2 linked regions of the Diceros bicornis minor genome follow. The protein of the gene in region 1 purifies or fractionates together with the protein of each later gene. This does not show direct contact. Links are inferred from orthologs where the notes say so. Each region holds a gene or a part of one and is shown on either strand. Other genes may lie near its edges.

Region 1 (7,945 bases):
TTAGTTTTGGACAACTTCCTTGTTTGGGGGCACAATACAATGCTCCAGGCTCATCCTGCACCTACTCTGCCCCAGACCTAAAATCAGCCATGTCCCCAAAGAGCCCTGAATCTTTTTCTTGGGTACAGCATTTGGAGACCACAATCCATGCACTAGTAAGCGGAGGAGCTGAGATGTGAACCCAGGCAGTCTGACTTCAGAGCTGGTGCTCTTACCCTCTATGCCCTCTGTCTCCGGTTAATAATGCGTATTAGTGACAGTAACAGTAATAATTATAACTGTTACTCCTACTGCCATAGCCAGCTGCTCACTATGTGTCAGATGCCCTGCAAGGTGCTTCCCAACATTTTAAAAGCATTATCATTATAACAACCCTCTGGGGTAGGTGTTATTATTCTAATCTTTCAGAAGAGGACATCGAGGCTCTGAAAGGTAAGTGACTGACCCAAGATCACACGGTGAGCGGAAGAACATGGATGCAAACCGAGGTCTGTGTGACTCTCAAGCCTGTCCCCTTAGTCAATATAGACCATGTTGGTTAGTGAGAATTCTGTCTTTGGTGATTTCCACCTTGTCTCCTTTCCACAGTTCCTTGCTTTCTCCCTTAGCCCCAGATACTCCCTGTGTCCCAGGGCCCCAGAGCTCTGGGGCCAGACATTCATTTGGTATTTTTCCAGGTGATCCACCCAGTGAGCATTTGTTGGGCCCCTACTACATTCAGAGCTGTGCTAGGGCACGGGTGGTCTAATTGGGAAGACGAAATCATTACATATAGTGTGTTTCTGCTGTAACATAAGAGGGGTACTCTGCTTTAGCACCCCTAGAGAAACATTCAACTCTCCCAGGGGGATCCGGGAATCCAAACAGCCTTTGAAAACCAAAGAACTGGAGCTTAAATTGTGGTGGGGGGGAGCGGGGGGTTTCCAGACACCATGACAGATGGTGGAGGTTTTCTGGCCGAGGACTCAGCTACACACTCTTCAATTCGTTCCAGGTAGATGGCTGCCTGCTTGTAAGGAGGAATGGCTGGGAGCCTACAGAGACAGGGAGAGTTGCATAAGAGTTGCTCTTCACAGGAAGGGTTGTCCTGTCCCCGGCACCCATCAAGTTCAGCAGAAGACTGGAAGCAGACTGTAGATAAGTCCTGGGATCAAAGAGAGCAGGAGAAGATTGCTATGGGGGAGAGGAGGGACCGCGGGACTGGGGCTCCAGCCCTTCTGTATCTGGGGCCTCCAAAGCCAGGCTCCGGACAGGCAGAAGACTGCTGCGGAGGGTCACTGTAGCAGTTAGTCATTGTTGTGTAATAACCATCCCCAAACTTAGTGGCTTAAGATAATCAACATTTATTATTTACCAGATCCTGTGGGTATGTTGAGCAGTTTTCTGGTCAGGGCTGGCTGAGCTGATCTCTGTGGTAAGCAGGTGGCTTGGCTGGGGCTGGATGATCTAGGACGGCCTCACTCACGTCTTGTAGGTGGCCCAATGTCAGCTGGGGTGACAAAGATGGCTTGGCCACCTGTCTCTCATCATCCAGGAGGATCGTTAGGGTTTGTTCACATGGTGGTGGTTAGAAGGCTCCCAAGAGCAGCAAGGAGAGGGCCAGCTCCAGTGCACAGGTACTTCACAAGCCTCTGCTTGCCTCACCTTTGTTAATGTCGCACTGGCTAAAGCAAGTCACATGACCAAGCCCCCAGATTCGAGGAGCAGAGAAACAGATCCACTTCTTGGAAGGAGTCATACTGTGAAGAGGTGTAGATATGGGAAGGAGAGGAATTTGCAACCATTTTTGCAATCTGCGTGTTTATAGGCATCCATTCCCTCTTTGACTATACAGCACCCCTGTGTTCATTTGGGGCATCCACTCCTACCCCCAAACTCAGACCTAGACAATCAGAGGCACAATGATTGGTTCAAGGATGGGCATGTGACCCAATTCTGGCCAATGAGATTCAGTCCTGGGACTTTTGCTGGGGACTGTTGGGAATGACGTGCTTTCTTTCTGCTGAAGCAGTTGTGCTAGTAGAATATAGGCCTGGAGCATCTGGAGGCCATGCTTGCCACCACATGGGAGGAGTCTGCCTGAGCAATAAGCCAACACTGAGGAAAACAGATATAAGGCATTAAGAAAGACAGATTGAGAGGAAGGAAAAGAGCCCAATCTGATGACACCCGGATCAAGCCACACCTGAATACTTACTCCTGGACTTTTCAGTTACATGAGCTAATATATTCCCTTTTTTGATTAGGCCATTTTGAGTTGGCAATCTAACTCAATACTTGTAACCAAAAGAATCCTGACTAATACAGCTCCCTCTCTTAAAAGTTCTTCCTCTCTGATCTCAAAGCTCTTCCCATTTGTAGATCGTGATTTGGGCAGATATTGTTTGTTTAATTTACTGCTTGTCCCCCTTGCCTGGGCATATAGTGAGTTCTCTGTAAACACTTATTGCAAGTATCAATAGGAGGAGTTGGGACACCTCCTAAGAGGATGCTGTGGTGACAGGCAGGTAACCAGTCTCAGGGAGAAGCTCCCAGAGCTGCTGGTCTAACAGGCAGGTGAGCAGGTGATGGACACAGTCCGTCAATGTAAACTATGCCTCCTGGCCCTAGGGCTGGGCTCCAAGGTGGAAGGGACTGGTGAGAACAAGGCAGGTCCACGTCTAGGAGGATCAGGATGGGGCCTGGTCACAGGGACAAAGCAAGGCCTTACTGTGAGTCCACAGCAAGCACGGGGCCCACAGCACTTCCACCTCTCCTGACTGCCGCCACCCTGGTCCAACCCCTTGTCACCACCTCCTGATTGGTACTTCTGCTCTTTCCCCCTAAAACCCCTTCTTCACTCAGCAGCTAGAGTGACCTTTTGAGAATGTAAATCAGATCATGTTACCTCCCTGCCTGAAACCCTCCAGGGGCTTCCTCCTGTGCTTAGAGCAACATAGCAACAACAACAGCTGACACTTACACGGTGCTCCTTAGGTGCCAGGCACTGTTCTAGGCACTTGACTTACAATAGCTCATTTAATTCTCACAACATCCCTATAACACAAGTACTATTATCATCATCCCCATTTTACAGATGAGAAAACTGAGGCACAGAAAGGTTCAATAGCTGGCCTGAGAGTTAACATGGATTAAAATCCAAACTCTTTACCAAGGTCTAGAACTTTCCACCCTAGGTCTTTGCATGGTGGCCTCTATCTTATCAGTTAGGTCCTAGAACAAATGTCACCTTCTCAGAGAGGACTTTGCAGATCATCCATTTTATAGTGTCGTCCCACTTTGGTAAGTCCAAATCCTTCCTTTTCCTCTCACCAGCAAAGTGCCCTATGTAAGTTTCCTGTTTCCTTCCCTTTTCCCATTTGGTTGGAGTGAATCTGAAGTAAGTGTATATGTGTAAAAACACCTATAACAGTGCTTTGCATACAAGTGTCTAACAAATGTCAGCTATTGTTTTAATGGATATTAAAGTCCTTTGTCCAAATGCTGCTAAGATTATTATTATTGCCCACTGAGTATTTGGGCACAGGCTGGGAAAAATCAGTAGAGTACAGCTCTGGCTCAGAGGCCAGAGGTTCCTTATGATGACAGCCCAAAGGATGGAAGACTTAACCTCTCTGAGCCTCAGTGTCCTTGTCTGTAAAATGGCAATAATAACCTTACCTCTGCCGACTTCACAGGGAAGCTCGAGTGCCTGCCCAATGGAAGCACTTAGAAAAATATTTGTTGAATGAATGAGTGCATGGACCACATGAGGGGGCAGTGGCAAGCTGCAGGGGTCTGCCCTGAGCAACATGACTGCTGACTTGCTGCCCATGAGACCTGATGCAATGGAGGCCCACCTAGGGCAGTGGACGAGTGCTGAATTGAGCAGACACGCTGGGTGGTGCGCTGGTCAGTGCTTCACATTTGGACAATGGGCACTCTTGGTAAGAACGTAAATGTATTGGTATGGCCTTTTTGGAAAAATCATGTAGTGCTAGCTATCACAGTTTTAATAGAGCATCCAAATATACTTAGTAGTTCCATTTATAGGAAATCATCTCCCAGATATCCAGGCTCAAGTATGCCAAGATTTATATAGTGTGTTCAATGCAACTCTTTGCAATAGTGAAAAACTGAAAACAACCTAAATGTTCCTCAGTACGGGAGTAGATAAAGAAATTGTGTTACATCTATACTATGGACCATGCAGCTATTAAAAAGAATGAGGTAAACCTATATGTATTAACATGGAGAGGTCTCAAGATGTACGATTAAATAAACAGAAAAACTCAAGTTGATAGAGCTATGCATTTAATATAATAACATTTGTGGAAAAAATCGTATCTATGTATCTGAATAGGAAATATCTGGAAGGCTACACAAAGTTAAGGTGGTTATCTCTAACCACCTTACCTTTAACCTTTGAAGTTAAAATTTTAAATTCATAAAAGAGCTCCCATATGAAGTCTCGAGGCCCTATTTGTAGTCTGGTCAGTGACACCGCGTGACGCAATGACAGCCTATTCGCGTTTTTGAGCCGAAGCTTCCTCCTGTGTAAACTAACAATAATACCTACCTCCTCGTGCTGTGATGGGTGAGATGAAATAACATGTATGAAATCCCCTGCTCAGGGCAAGGATAGATCACTAGAGCAATCAGGGAGGGTGACTCGAAGAAGGAGGCATGAGTCTAGACTTTGAAAGATTTGGCAAGGCCTGGATTTAGTTTGATTCCCGGTTGTCTTTTCCAATATTCAACAGGCATTTATTTATTAAAGGTCTGGTACAAAACCGGATGTGGGCTTTTTAACTACTCACCTCCTGTCGCAAGCTGCCAAGCAGCAGCCTAGCGCGTGCGCAGTGAGAGCATCTTTGGCTGAGCTCCGCCCACGTACTACAACTCCCGGCAGGCTCTGCGCACGGTTTTGGCGCGTCGCGGAATACTGACGTAGCTCAGTAGCGCGGGGAATTTCGAGTGGCAGTGGAGCGCGAGAGGCCAGTGGTTGGCGGACCCCCAGCCTCCGTAGGAGAGACCATGGACTCCGTAGTTGAGCCTCGGTGGCCTCCAGGCCTGGCAGTCATGAAAGTGAGTGCTTCGGGGAGGTTGGGGGCGCCCGGGTGTCCGCGGGAGGCCTGCCCCGCCTTGAGGAGGAGAAGGGAGGAGGCGCGAGCAGGGAGCTGGGCCAGGGTACCCGGCTCTGCTCTGCCGCTTGCCGACTGCGTGGCTCTGCGCCTCAGTTTCCTCCCCTGAGAAGTAACAGGGACAGGCCTCGGTCCCTTACGTGAGTTGAAGTTGGCCGTCGTATGGAACCGGGTATTCTGCGGTTCAGCCACAACCATAACACTGACCTCGAGAAAAACAGTTATTCTCAACAATGAGAACGACAATGACAACTAATCCTTCCTGAGGGCTTGCTATCTGCTAAGCATTATGTAAACTCTCGTAGTATGTTGGTTGAGATTTCCCAAAGTGACACCAGACGTGATTTTGGGTGGACCCTGCATCAAATAACATTTATTTAATCACTTAGCGAAGCAGGTAGTCTCCTTTACATTCTCTTTGGTTTCTTCTAATTAGACTCTGGAAGCCTAGCGCTGGTTTGTCCTAACTCCTCCCTAATGTGTCCTAACTCCTAACAGTTGTGCATCTCTCTTTTAAACAAAGAGATCAGGACTCAGGCTCAGCACTAGCCTTTCATTTCATTGAATTATTTCACTTAAATAACACATTTTTGTGGCTACTTTGTTTTTAGCAAGGCATATCAGTTTCCATTTATATTAGTGGTGATCCCTGGATTCCTGCTAGGTTTAGTCAAGAGCGAATACACTTTGCTGTGTTACCTAAGAATCAGTTGCTTGGTTTTGCTCCCTGCTCTGTGATTATTTCAGTTTGTGGCTGTGGGCAAGATCGAGTTCTCGTTTTGTTCGTCAGTTTTGTAAACTTGGGGATTATGGTATCTGTCCCACAGACTCGTAAGGCTGATTTTGAGAGTCAAGTAAGGGGACTTGAGAGAAGTTAAAGTAAGTATAAGGCCTTGTTCGTCCTGCTGTCATCAGTGTCATCTACAGTGCTTGGGGCCTTGAGATATCCCCATGGTGAAAAGCTGACATTGTGGAAGGATCCACGAAAGCTGTAGTTTTGAAGTTGTGGTGGCCTTGGCACCAAGCTGCAATGGAGAAGAGCATAGATTTGAGTTTCAGTGCTCCTGAGTTAAATCTGGTCTCTGCCTCTTATTTACCGTGTGATGGTGAGTTACTTACTTAACCTCTCTGAGCTTGAATTTCCTCAACTCTAAATCTGAGACAAAAATAAACAGTTTATAGGATTGGTTAAATGAATTGATGTATCTGGATAGGGATCCTGTTTGGCTTTTTTCATTGTGCGTAACTGAGTGCCTGGCACATAGTGGATGCTCAGAAATTGTTTGCTAATTGATTCAAGGTGTCTGGAAGGTAGTAAGCATTCAATTATATATCTTTATTATTGTTATTAGCCCTTAACGTGTTAAGTGTTTCCCCCCTCCTTTGTATTTCTTGTTATGAAGAGTGAATTGGATAAAGGAAGTGAAAGCTCTGTAACTTGTAAAGCACTTGCTTTGTAGATTTAAGCATATTTTACATATTTATATATTCCACATGTTTTTTAGAGGCACGTTCCACGTCTCCTCTGGTTTTGGTATCTCACCACAGCACTTAATACAGGGACAGCACCAGAGAGTGTTCAGTGATGGAGTTGATTGAGCCCATATTAGAATCATGGTATCTTAAGGTTGGAAAGCCAGCTCCCTCCAGTATTTTAATCCCTTTTATAGCATATCTGCCAATTTCTCATCTAGCTTTTGCTTGAACTCTTCCAGGGACGAAGAACTACCTGCTCCCAGAAGTAGCTCTGTTTGAAGTTCTTTCTTATGTTGAATAGAAATCTGACTCCTGAATCCTTGGTTCCAGACCTAGGATCCATGGAAAGACTTTGGTATCTGGAATTATTTATAAAATTTTTGTCTATGTGTATGTTTTTCTGAGAAGAGAGTCCATAGTTTTCATCCATTTTTCAAAAGGATCTGTGACCCAAAAAACTTAAGAACCTTTGCTCTAATTATTTAGTCTTTTCACCCGTTCCCCACTTCCCCTTTTTACTTTGTCTCTCTAAGTTAAAGAAATCCTGGGCAATCCACTTGACCGCTCTCTATTCAGGCTATTTTTTTTTTTTTTGGTTGAGGCACACGTGGTATGCATGTTACTGGCTTGAAATGGCATGACTAGAAATTTATACAGGCTTGTTACAACTCATTTGATGCGGTGTCACCTTCCACAAATTTCGCTCAGCAGATCTATCAGAGCCACTCCTCTGGAAGAGGATGGTTATGTAGAAGCAAGTTGAACAGAGTTGAGGCCAGGGCTCTGGCTTCCAGCCCTGCCTCTGCTCTTAACTGGTCTTCAACACAATCCAGCTTTTTGTGTCAGTGCTGGCTTACCATCCAAAATAATGGAAGATTTTGGCATTTTAATGTTTATTTCTCTAGTTTTATTGTAACAAAAATTTCTATTTTTGACAGATTATAAATGTAGCATGTGTGTATAGTAGAAAAACATAAAAATTCAGAATAAGATAAAGGGGAAAATGAAAATTACCCATCATCCTACCATCCAGAGATAACCACTGTTTAACGTTTTCTATTTTCCTTTAGTTTTTCTTGTGTGTGCCTTGTGCACACACATACCTGCAATGTGTATATGCATTTAAAATTTGGGGTCACTTTGGAGTCAATTTCTTGAGTTTGATCCAGCCACTTATAAGCTCTGTAGACTTCATCTATAAAACTGGGATACAGATGCTATAGACTTCCTAAGATTGTTATGAGATTAAACTATATAGTTCTATTATTATGCATTATTGTCGTAGATTTGTTCTCTGATTTTTTAAAGTTTCCTTTAAAACATAAACATTTTCCCATGGCATTAAT
Region 2 (7,392 bases), on another chromosome or scaffold:
TACAATTCGAGACAGGACGTCTTTAATATGGTTCTCCTCTTCCAAAATGTTCAGTGTTCCCTGAAAAAGAACAAGAGATAAGTCTAAAATAAATAAAATTTAAAAAAAAAAAAAAAAAAGGGCCGGCCCTGTGGCTTGGTGGTTAAGTGCGCGCGCTCTGATGCTGGTGGCCCGGGTTCGGATCCCGGGCGCGCACCGAGGCACCACTTCTCCGGCTATCCTGAGGCCGAGTCCCACATACAGCAACTAAAAGGATGTGCAGCTATGACATACAACTATCTACTGGGGCTTTGGGGAGAAAAAAATAAATAAAATCTTTAAAAAAAAAAAAAAGAGATAAGTCTGAAAGACTGCATTCAAGGTAAAAACCTGGGCTGTAAAAGTGTACAAAACTCATCAGCAGGCCTGCTTTGAAACTAACCAAAATAAACAAACCTGTTCTCCATGTCTGAGTCACTTGTCCTGCATTCTCACTAATCATTCTGCCCACTTAAAGCTTAAGGGAGGGTTGCATCAGCTAATAAAATGGCTGTCACACAGAGCAAGGAGGACATCACTGCTCTCCTTTACAAACCGAAGAGACTCTCATATTGTTTCATTTTGTAAGAGGGTCGGGGGAGAAGTATAGAAATAAGGAGTACATGGAGAGGCTGATAAAATGAGAGTTAGGAGAAGCAACTGAAAACTTTACCAACAGTTCTACTATTAGAAGATACAGAAAGACTATTACTGGGACTCTCTTCCGAATTTTGATATCAAGATTAATAAATTATGACTTCTATCAAGTTTCCCCAGAACTAGCAAAATACAAATCCTAGCTAGCTATGTTAATTAATAATTTTAAAGGGATTTTTTTTTTTTCCAATAAAGGCACTAGACTTTGGGGATGAAAAGGGGTGAAAATTCCACTTTTCTTGCCCTTTGTAAAATAGAAAAAAAAGGCTGTGGATTTTAAACATGTTTAAAGTCATATTATAACTCCTGAAACAAATTCATTCTGCAATTTTTTATTGCTAGTATCATAGTTCATTTTGGAATAAAAGGAAACAAACAGCAAAGTGCCATCTAATTTAGATCTAAGAATCTTATTCATTTGCTGAACAAGTTTAATCTCCTCTGCCCTATGTTCATACTTTTAAAAACAGAAGTCAACACATAAGGGATTAATTAAACCTAGTAAGACAAATGTGATGAATTATGATTTCTAGTGATGGTGGTTCTTTTTACCTTGAAGGTTAACATTTAATATTATACAAAGCATGCTGTTTGACCTTTGTAGAATCAGTGAATTTTTACACAAATGCTACACTGAAGAAGTCACACCTTGTCTAAACTACCTTGGAAACACAAGTCTTCCAATCAACCATTCCTTACATTTGCAATCAGCTCCATGACACTGTTCTTCAGATAGACCTTCTCCAACCGAGACATGCTGTTCCACCGAAACCTGGTCAAAATGCATAAAGTCAACAGAACCACATTAGAAGTCTTCTCTTCATAAGAGACTAGCTTTGATTCCTGTGTTAGGTTATGCTGGTGATTTCATTAAGAAATTATACTTTTGACTTTGTACCCTTCGAAGAATGGACAAAATCAGTCCACATTTAACCAAAATGCTAAAATAACAGAAAAATTCTTGGGAAAGAGTTTTATATAGGCAGTGGTCTATTAACTGGAATCCACACAAGATTTGTGCACAGATTAGCTTTTCCCCTTGATTTTACTGACAAACTAAAATCAAATATATCTGGGACAACTGCAACAATGTAGTTGCTTTTTGGAAAATACCATCTTGATACCACTAACTCCCTTTCAGGCTGGCTTACAAGGTAATGGCACAATTCCAGAAAAACTGTGGCTAAGTCTTAAAAGCTGATTCTTCTGATAGGCACTGGGCATAGGAGACTCAAGTCAGGAAGGGTTTTCAGTTATTCTCATATAACCCTCCTTTGGATTTGCCCTTCAGAGAAGGCACACACTCAAACTTAAAAAAAAAAAACTTAAAGGCACAGTGATTAATCAGAGATTTATTTACCTAAACATTGCATTATTCTAATAACACTTTGAGTTGGCTGGTATACAGTAAGAGCTCAATAAAAGCTGGCTGAATAACTATCAGCTAATATTTGTAGAATGCTTAGTATTAGTACCACTCACTTTACATGGATGAAGAAACTGAAGAAGAGAAAGGTTAAATGCTGAATGAGAGCTCCCAAGAGGCTGTACTAACCTCTCGGGGACCATTCCTTTCTTCTTGGGGACTGCTCTTTTCTATTAACCCAAAGAGTATCTCTATGAGTTACATAAGAAACAAAGATTTGCTCTCTCACAGACTTCGGTGGTAATATCCAAAAGCTCCTTACTTGACAACGTGTTCCAGGATCTGAAGGCCAAAATGTCTGACGATGGCAATTTGTGTTTTCTCAGCCAACCTCAAGCCACAGGGGACACAGATAGGGCACTTTTCTTTAAACTCCTCACAAAACTGAAAGAAGAAAAGTTAGCATTTCTCTTAGGAGCCAAGACAGTAGGGACTAAAAAATCTTCATCTTAAGAAACTCTAACCTGAACTATATATAAATATATATATATATATTTTTTTTTTCCTGAGGAAGATTCACCCTGAGCTAACATCCACGCCAATCTTCCTCTATTTTTTAGTATGTGGGCTGCCAGCACAGCATGGCTGCTCACAGAGCGGTATAGGTCTGCACCCTCACAGAGCGGTATAGGTCTGCACCCAGGAACTGAACCTGGGCCACTGAAACAGAGGACACTGAACTGAACCACTCGGCCACTGGGGTGGGCCCTGAGCTTTATTTTTAAGTTGCAAAATCTAGATCAATATTATATGAGTAAAGAACCAATAAACATTCCTTTCCTTTGGATAGTTCCAGATTTTCCATGCTATGTCCAACTAATGTTGAAAAACATTCTTGACCTAAATGAGTAAAAAATTATTTGTTAGATGTGATACACCTGCGAAGTACATAGGGGTGACATGACAATTCCTAGCATTTGCTTTAAAAACCTTTGGTGGAGGGGAAGAGAGAAAGCAAATGTGGCGAAATCTTTATAACTGCTGAGTTTAGGGGATAGGTATATACAAGATCACTGTAGTATTCTACTTTTGTGTCTATTTTCAGTATTTCATAGCAAAAAACAAACTAATAGAACCCAATTGTTTCTGATTCCAAATCCTGTGGCATACATCTAAATACCGAAACGTTTCCTCCAAGTGATGCTCACTTTACTTTATGAAGTTACATCAGTTAAAACAGGCATAGCACAAGTGTTTTTTCCGAGTAGTCATTTCTCAAAGCCCACATACAGAGTTTGATGCGGGAATAAGTTTGTACTCTACTAGTATCCCCATTTGTATTAGCATTCCCAAATTGCAACACGAGAGTCAGTCCCAGGAGCTGAGCATCCGGGACTCAAGAAAACTACTTTCAGGAAACCAAAGCGCCCTTGTTAAAATGCAAAGTAAGTGGTGGAAGTTCATCTTTGCGAAAAATAGCCTAAGAATAACCCAGACTAAAAAACATGGGGGAAGGGGGTGTGAGAATTAGCCCAGAGATACCCAAGACACAGAAAAGGGTTGGCAAGAAGTGTAAGGATGTAAGTAAAGGGGTGCTAGGGGGGCTGGAGCTCGATTAGGACGGGTCAGGAGAGTGGGTCAGCAAGGAAACGTTTAGCGCAGAGGAGATCATAAAGAATGTAGCTGGTGTTGGGGACGGGATGGGCACGTGCGCCACGGGAAGGCGAGGGGACGCGGGGATGCGGGGCTTGAGGGAATGAAATGGGTGCAGACGGCTCTGGAGAGGGTCGTGGTGCGGACAAAAGTGAACGGAAGTGAGGAAGGGGGAGGAGAGGGCAGTGGGAAGTGATCGTGAGATGAGAAGCAGCTAGGGACCGGAGTGTCCCGGGAGAAGGGGAGGCGCGGCGAGCAGAGAAGGCGGGGATGGGAAGAGGCGCAGAGGGCGGCGAGGCGGAGGCCCCCCGGGGTTGGGGAGGGAGGTCCAGAGGCCTCGTGGCCCGGAGACGACCAGGGTTATGGGCGGCGCCGGGACGCCTGGGGCTGGGCGAGGGTCTCGGGGCAGGCCCAGGTCGCCAGACCCCAGCTACCTTGAGGGCTTCCAGCCGGTAGCGCTGGGTGGAGCTGGGGTCCATCATGACCGTCACCGCTTTCACGAGCTGCTCGCACAGCGCGTTCACTTGATCCATCGCCATGGCTAGTGACTCGTGCCGCAAGCGCCCACCACAGCCGTCCCAGGAGCACGAGGGACGGACGGCTCCCTTGGCGGGACCCACGCTGGTACCGGGCCGCGGCGGGCTGAGGGGTGGGGAGCGGGAGGAGGAGCGTGAGCGGCAGAAGCTCCACGGGGAAGGAGCCGGCGCTGCGCACGCGCCCGACTCGCCACTGCGCACGCGCCCGCGGAAGTGGGGGCTCTCTGGTACGGTTACTCCTCGGTGGGCGGGGCGGGAGACGGAAGGGCCGCGGTGCGCAGGCGCGTCAACGGCCCTTCGCGGCGCGCGCGCAGTTCGATCCCTGTCAGGCGGGCTGGCAGCTGGGTGCCCCGCCCTGGGCTGGACCCACCCGGCTGTGCGGCGCCTGCCCGAGCACTGATCCTTTGCGACCCTTGGTCCGTTCCTCCGTCGTTACGGGGAATAAATCTCACTCGAAACCAGAAACTGGCCCGCTCCTGGAAAGGGGTCAGATATTGCAGATCCCTTCGTCTTCCAGTGGACCCCCAGCCCATCATCGGCGGCGTCCGCGGTTGGCAGTTTTGCCCGGCGTTCGTCACCTTGGTAAGAGAATTTAGAACCGTTCGGTATCACTGTTTTCAGACTTTGCATGTTGCCTTGGCTGTTGGTTTTATGATATAGCAGTGGCCAGTGACAACGTTGGGCCGGAATTACATGAATTAGAAATACATGCTCACTGAGAGATAAGCCCTGGTATTATCCTCTAAGAGCATTTTTCTTGTGGAAACTATATTTTTTCCGTAGCTCTTCACTTGTACTGCTTTTCCTTGGATGTGTTATTACCTGATCAGCACCAAACTTGTTTTGTACTGATTGGTATAAATGGCGATATTTAAAGATGAAGCCGGTCCGGTGGCGCAGCGGTTAAGTTCGCGCGCTCCACTTCCGCGGCCCGGAGTTCCCAGGTTCCGATCCCGGGCGTGGCCCGACGCATTGCTTGTCAGGCCATGCTGTGGCAGGCGTCCCACATATAAAGTACAGGAAGATGGGCACGGATGTTAGCCCAGGGCCAATCTTCCTCAGCAAACAGAGGAGGATTGGCATCAGGTGTTTGCTCAGGGCTAATCTTCCACACAAAAAAATAAAGATAAATTATTGAAGGTTTGTGCAGTTTTGATCACTTGAAATGCTGTATATAAGACTTCAAAGTAGTGTAATCCTTCCGAAAGGAGGGTTTTTACAGAGAGTGTTTCATTTTCCAGCAAGCTCTTGCTTTAAAAAGCTCTTGCTTTCTCCAGCAAAATACCTAAACTGAAAACTTCAACAGCCTTATTATCTGTTAAAGTCTGCATATGGGTTTTTGTGTTTGTATATTCAGTAAAATGTTCGCTGGACTTAAATCACTGCTTTCTATTCATACTCCACCGTCTGCTATTTGTATCTAATATGGAACTTACCTGGGTTTTTTGTGAAAATGCATTTATTATTTTTATTCTGGCATTATGTATTCCAGTACTACACAAAAGCCACTGCAAAGTAAAGTGATTTCTGACATGTTATGGTTTTAACTTATAAATGTTTAAAGTATCACATTCTGCCTGTTTTAGGTGAGTGGAATTTATAAGGAATCAATGCTTTGACTACTCTGATTTTTTTAATTTATTGTTTTCTTTCCACTAATCTTCCAACTTGTAGTTGCATGCCACTTTTTTCAAGGTGAATGGTAGTTTTTGACACTTTTTTAGAATACAGTTGAGTACTTACTCAACTGTATAACCTGTGTTTCTCGTATTTAAATCATGAATTACTGGTGTTTCCATAAGTATCTTATTTACTTTAGGTCAGTGGTTCCCAATCTCTACTGCATATTAAAACTGCCTAGAGAGCTTTTAAAAATCACAGTGCCCAGGTCACACCCATACCAATTAAATTAGGATGTCTGGTGGTAGAAGCCAGATATCAATATTATTTAAATGTTACTAGGTGATTCCAATTTGGAACAAAGTTTGGGAGCCACTGCTTTAGTTTACATTCCTTCTTTCAGATCTCTAACAATGTTAAATGATAACATTGGTCTCTATCCACTGTCAAGTATATAAGGTTTGTTCTTGCAGTCTACCATCCATACCTTTATGTATGTCTACCCATGAATAGTGTGTAAGTATTGTTTTCTTTTATCTTGAAAAATTGATGTGAATGGGTAGAAAATCACCATTAGAACACTATAAAGTAATTGTTATAGGTAAGATCCACTGATGGGTGCTTAGTGGTTGAAAGTTTGAGGAGAAACAGGATATTTGCATAGTCTCAAAATATCTCCCCTAAGATATCAGTTACAAAAGGAAAAGTAGTAACTTTACAGTGAGAAACCTGGCAAACGCTATCTCAACGAAATGATCATGGTTAACATCACCAGTAATAAGACATATTGACATCTTGTACCTCCCAATGTGATACACTGAGAGGAGCACATCACTTTCATAATATTCTTGCTGAAAATGCGTAACTTCAATCTAATCAAGAGAAAACATCAGACAAACCTAAATTGAGAGACAGTCTCACAGTAACTGACTAGTTCTCTTCAAAAGCGTCAAGGTCATGAAAAACAAGGGAAGACTGAGGAAGTGTCACAGATTGGAGACCACTAAGGAGACTTGATGACTAAGATTGGATCCTAGATTGGATCCTGAAACACAAAAAAGACATTAGTGGAATAACCGGTGAAATTCAAGCAAAGTATGTAGTTGAATATTATACCAATATTCATTTTTGTTTGTTTGTTTTTATTTTTTATTTTTATTTTTTGTTTATTGCGGTAACATTGGTTTATAACATTGTATAAATTTCAGGTGTACATCATTATACTTCTGTTTCTGCATGGATTACATCATGTTCTCATGTTCACCACCCAATATTCATTTTTTAGTTTTGATAATTGTGCTATATAAAATGTTAACATTAGGGGCAACTGGGTGTAGGAGAACCCTACTGTTTTTGCAACTTTTCTATAAGTCTAAAATTATTTCAAAATAAAAACTTAAAAAAATTCACATGAATGCTATGAGGTTATATAACATTTTCTGCTTCTCTTTTCTCTGAACTTATACTTGAGATTTGTCTATCAACTAGATTAACTGTTGGCTTTATCCCTCTATTGACGTGCATTGTGGTTTTAATTTGCAT

The links. Proteins that work in one complex are often made in the same cells at the same time.
Region 2: the proteins of RAD18 (region 1) and POLH purify together in Homo sapiens (affinity purification with western blotting; 7 studies listed by BioGRID, with this or other methods). This does not show direct contact. The link is inferred for Diceros bicornis minor from reciprocal best matches to the Homo sapiens genes RAD18 and POLH.

Annotation. Positions count from the first base shown.
Region 1 is NC_080741.1:71,256,024-71,263,968, forward strand, and holds the start of RAD18 (E3 ubiquitin-protein ligase RAD18), read left to right. Parts: upstream 1-4,945; 5' UTR 4,946-5,016; coding exon 5,017-5,067; intron 5,068-7,945. UniProt on the Homo sapiens protein: E3 ubiquitin-protein ligase involved in postreplication repair of UV-damaged DNA. Postreplication repair functions in gap-filling of a daughter strand on replication of damaged DNA.
Region 2 is NC_080753.1:22,200,870-22,208,261, reverse strand, and holds the start of POLH (DNA polymerase eta), read left to right. Parts: upstream 1-4,371; 5' UTR 4,372-4,812; intron 4,813-5,722; exon of another isoform or gene 5,723-6,797; 5' UTR 6,798-6,945; intron 6,946-7,392. Other genes in the region: XPO5 (exportin-5), read right to left, coding at 1-60, 1,375-1,447, 2,364-2,485, 4,129-4,233. UniProt on the Homo sapiens protein: DNA polymerase specifically involved in the DNA repair by translesion synthesis (TLS). Due to low processivity on both damaged and normal DNA, cooperates with the heterotetrameric (REV3L, REV7, POLD2 and POLD3) POLZ complex for complete bypass of DNA lesions.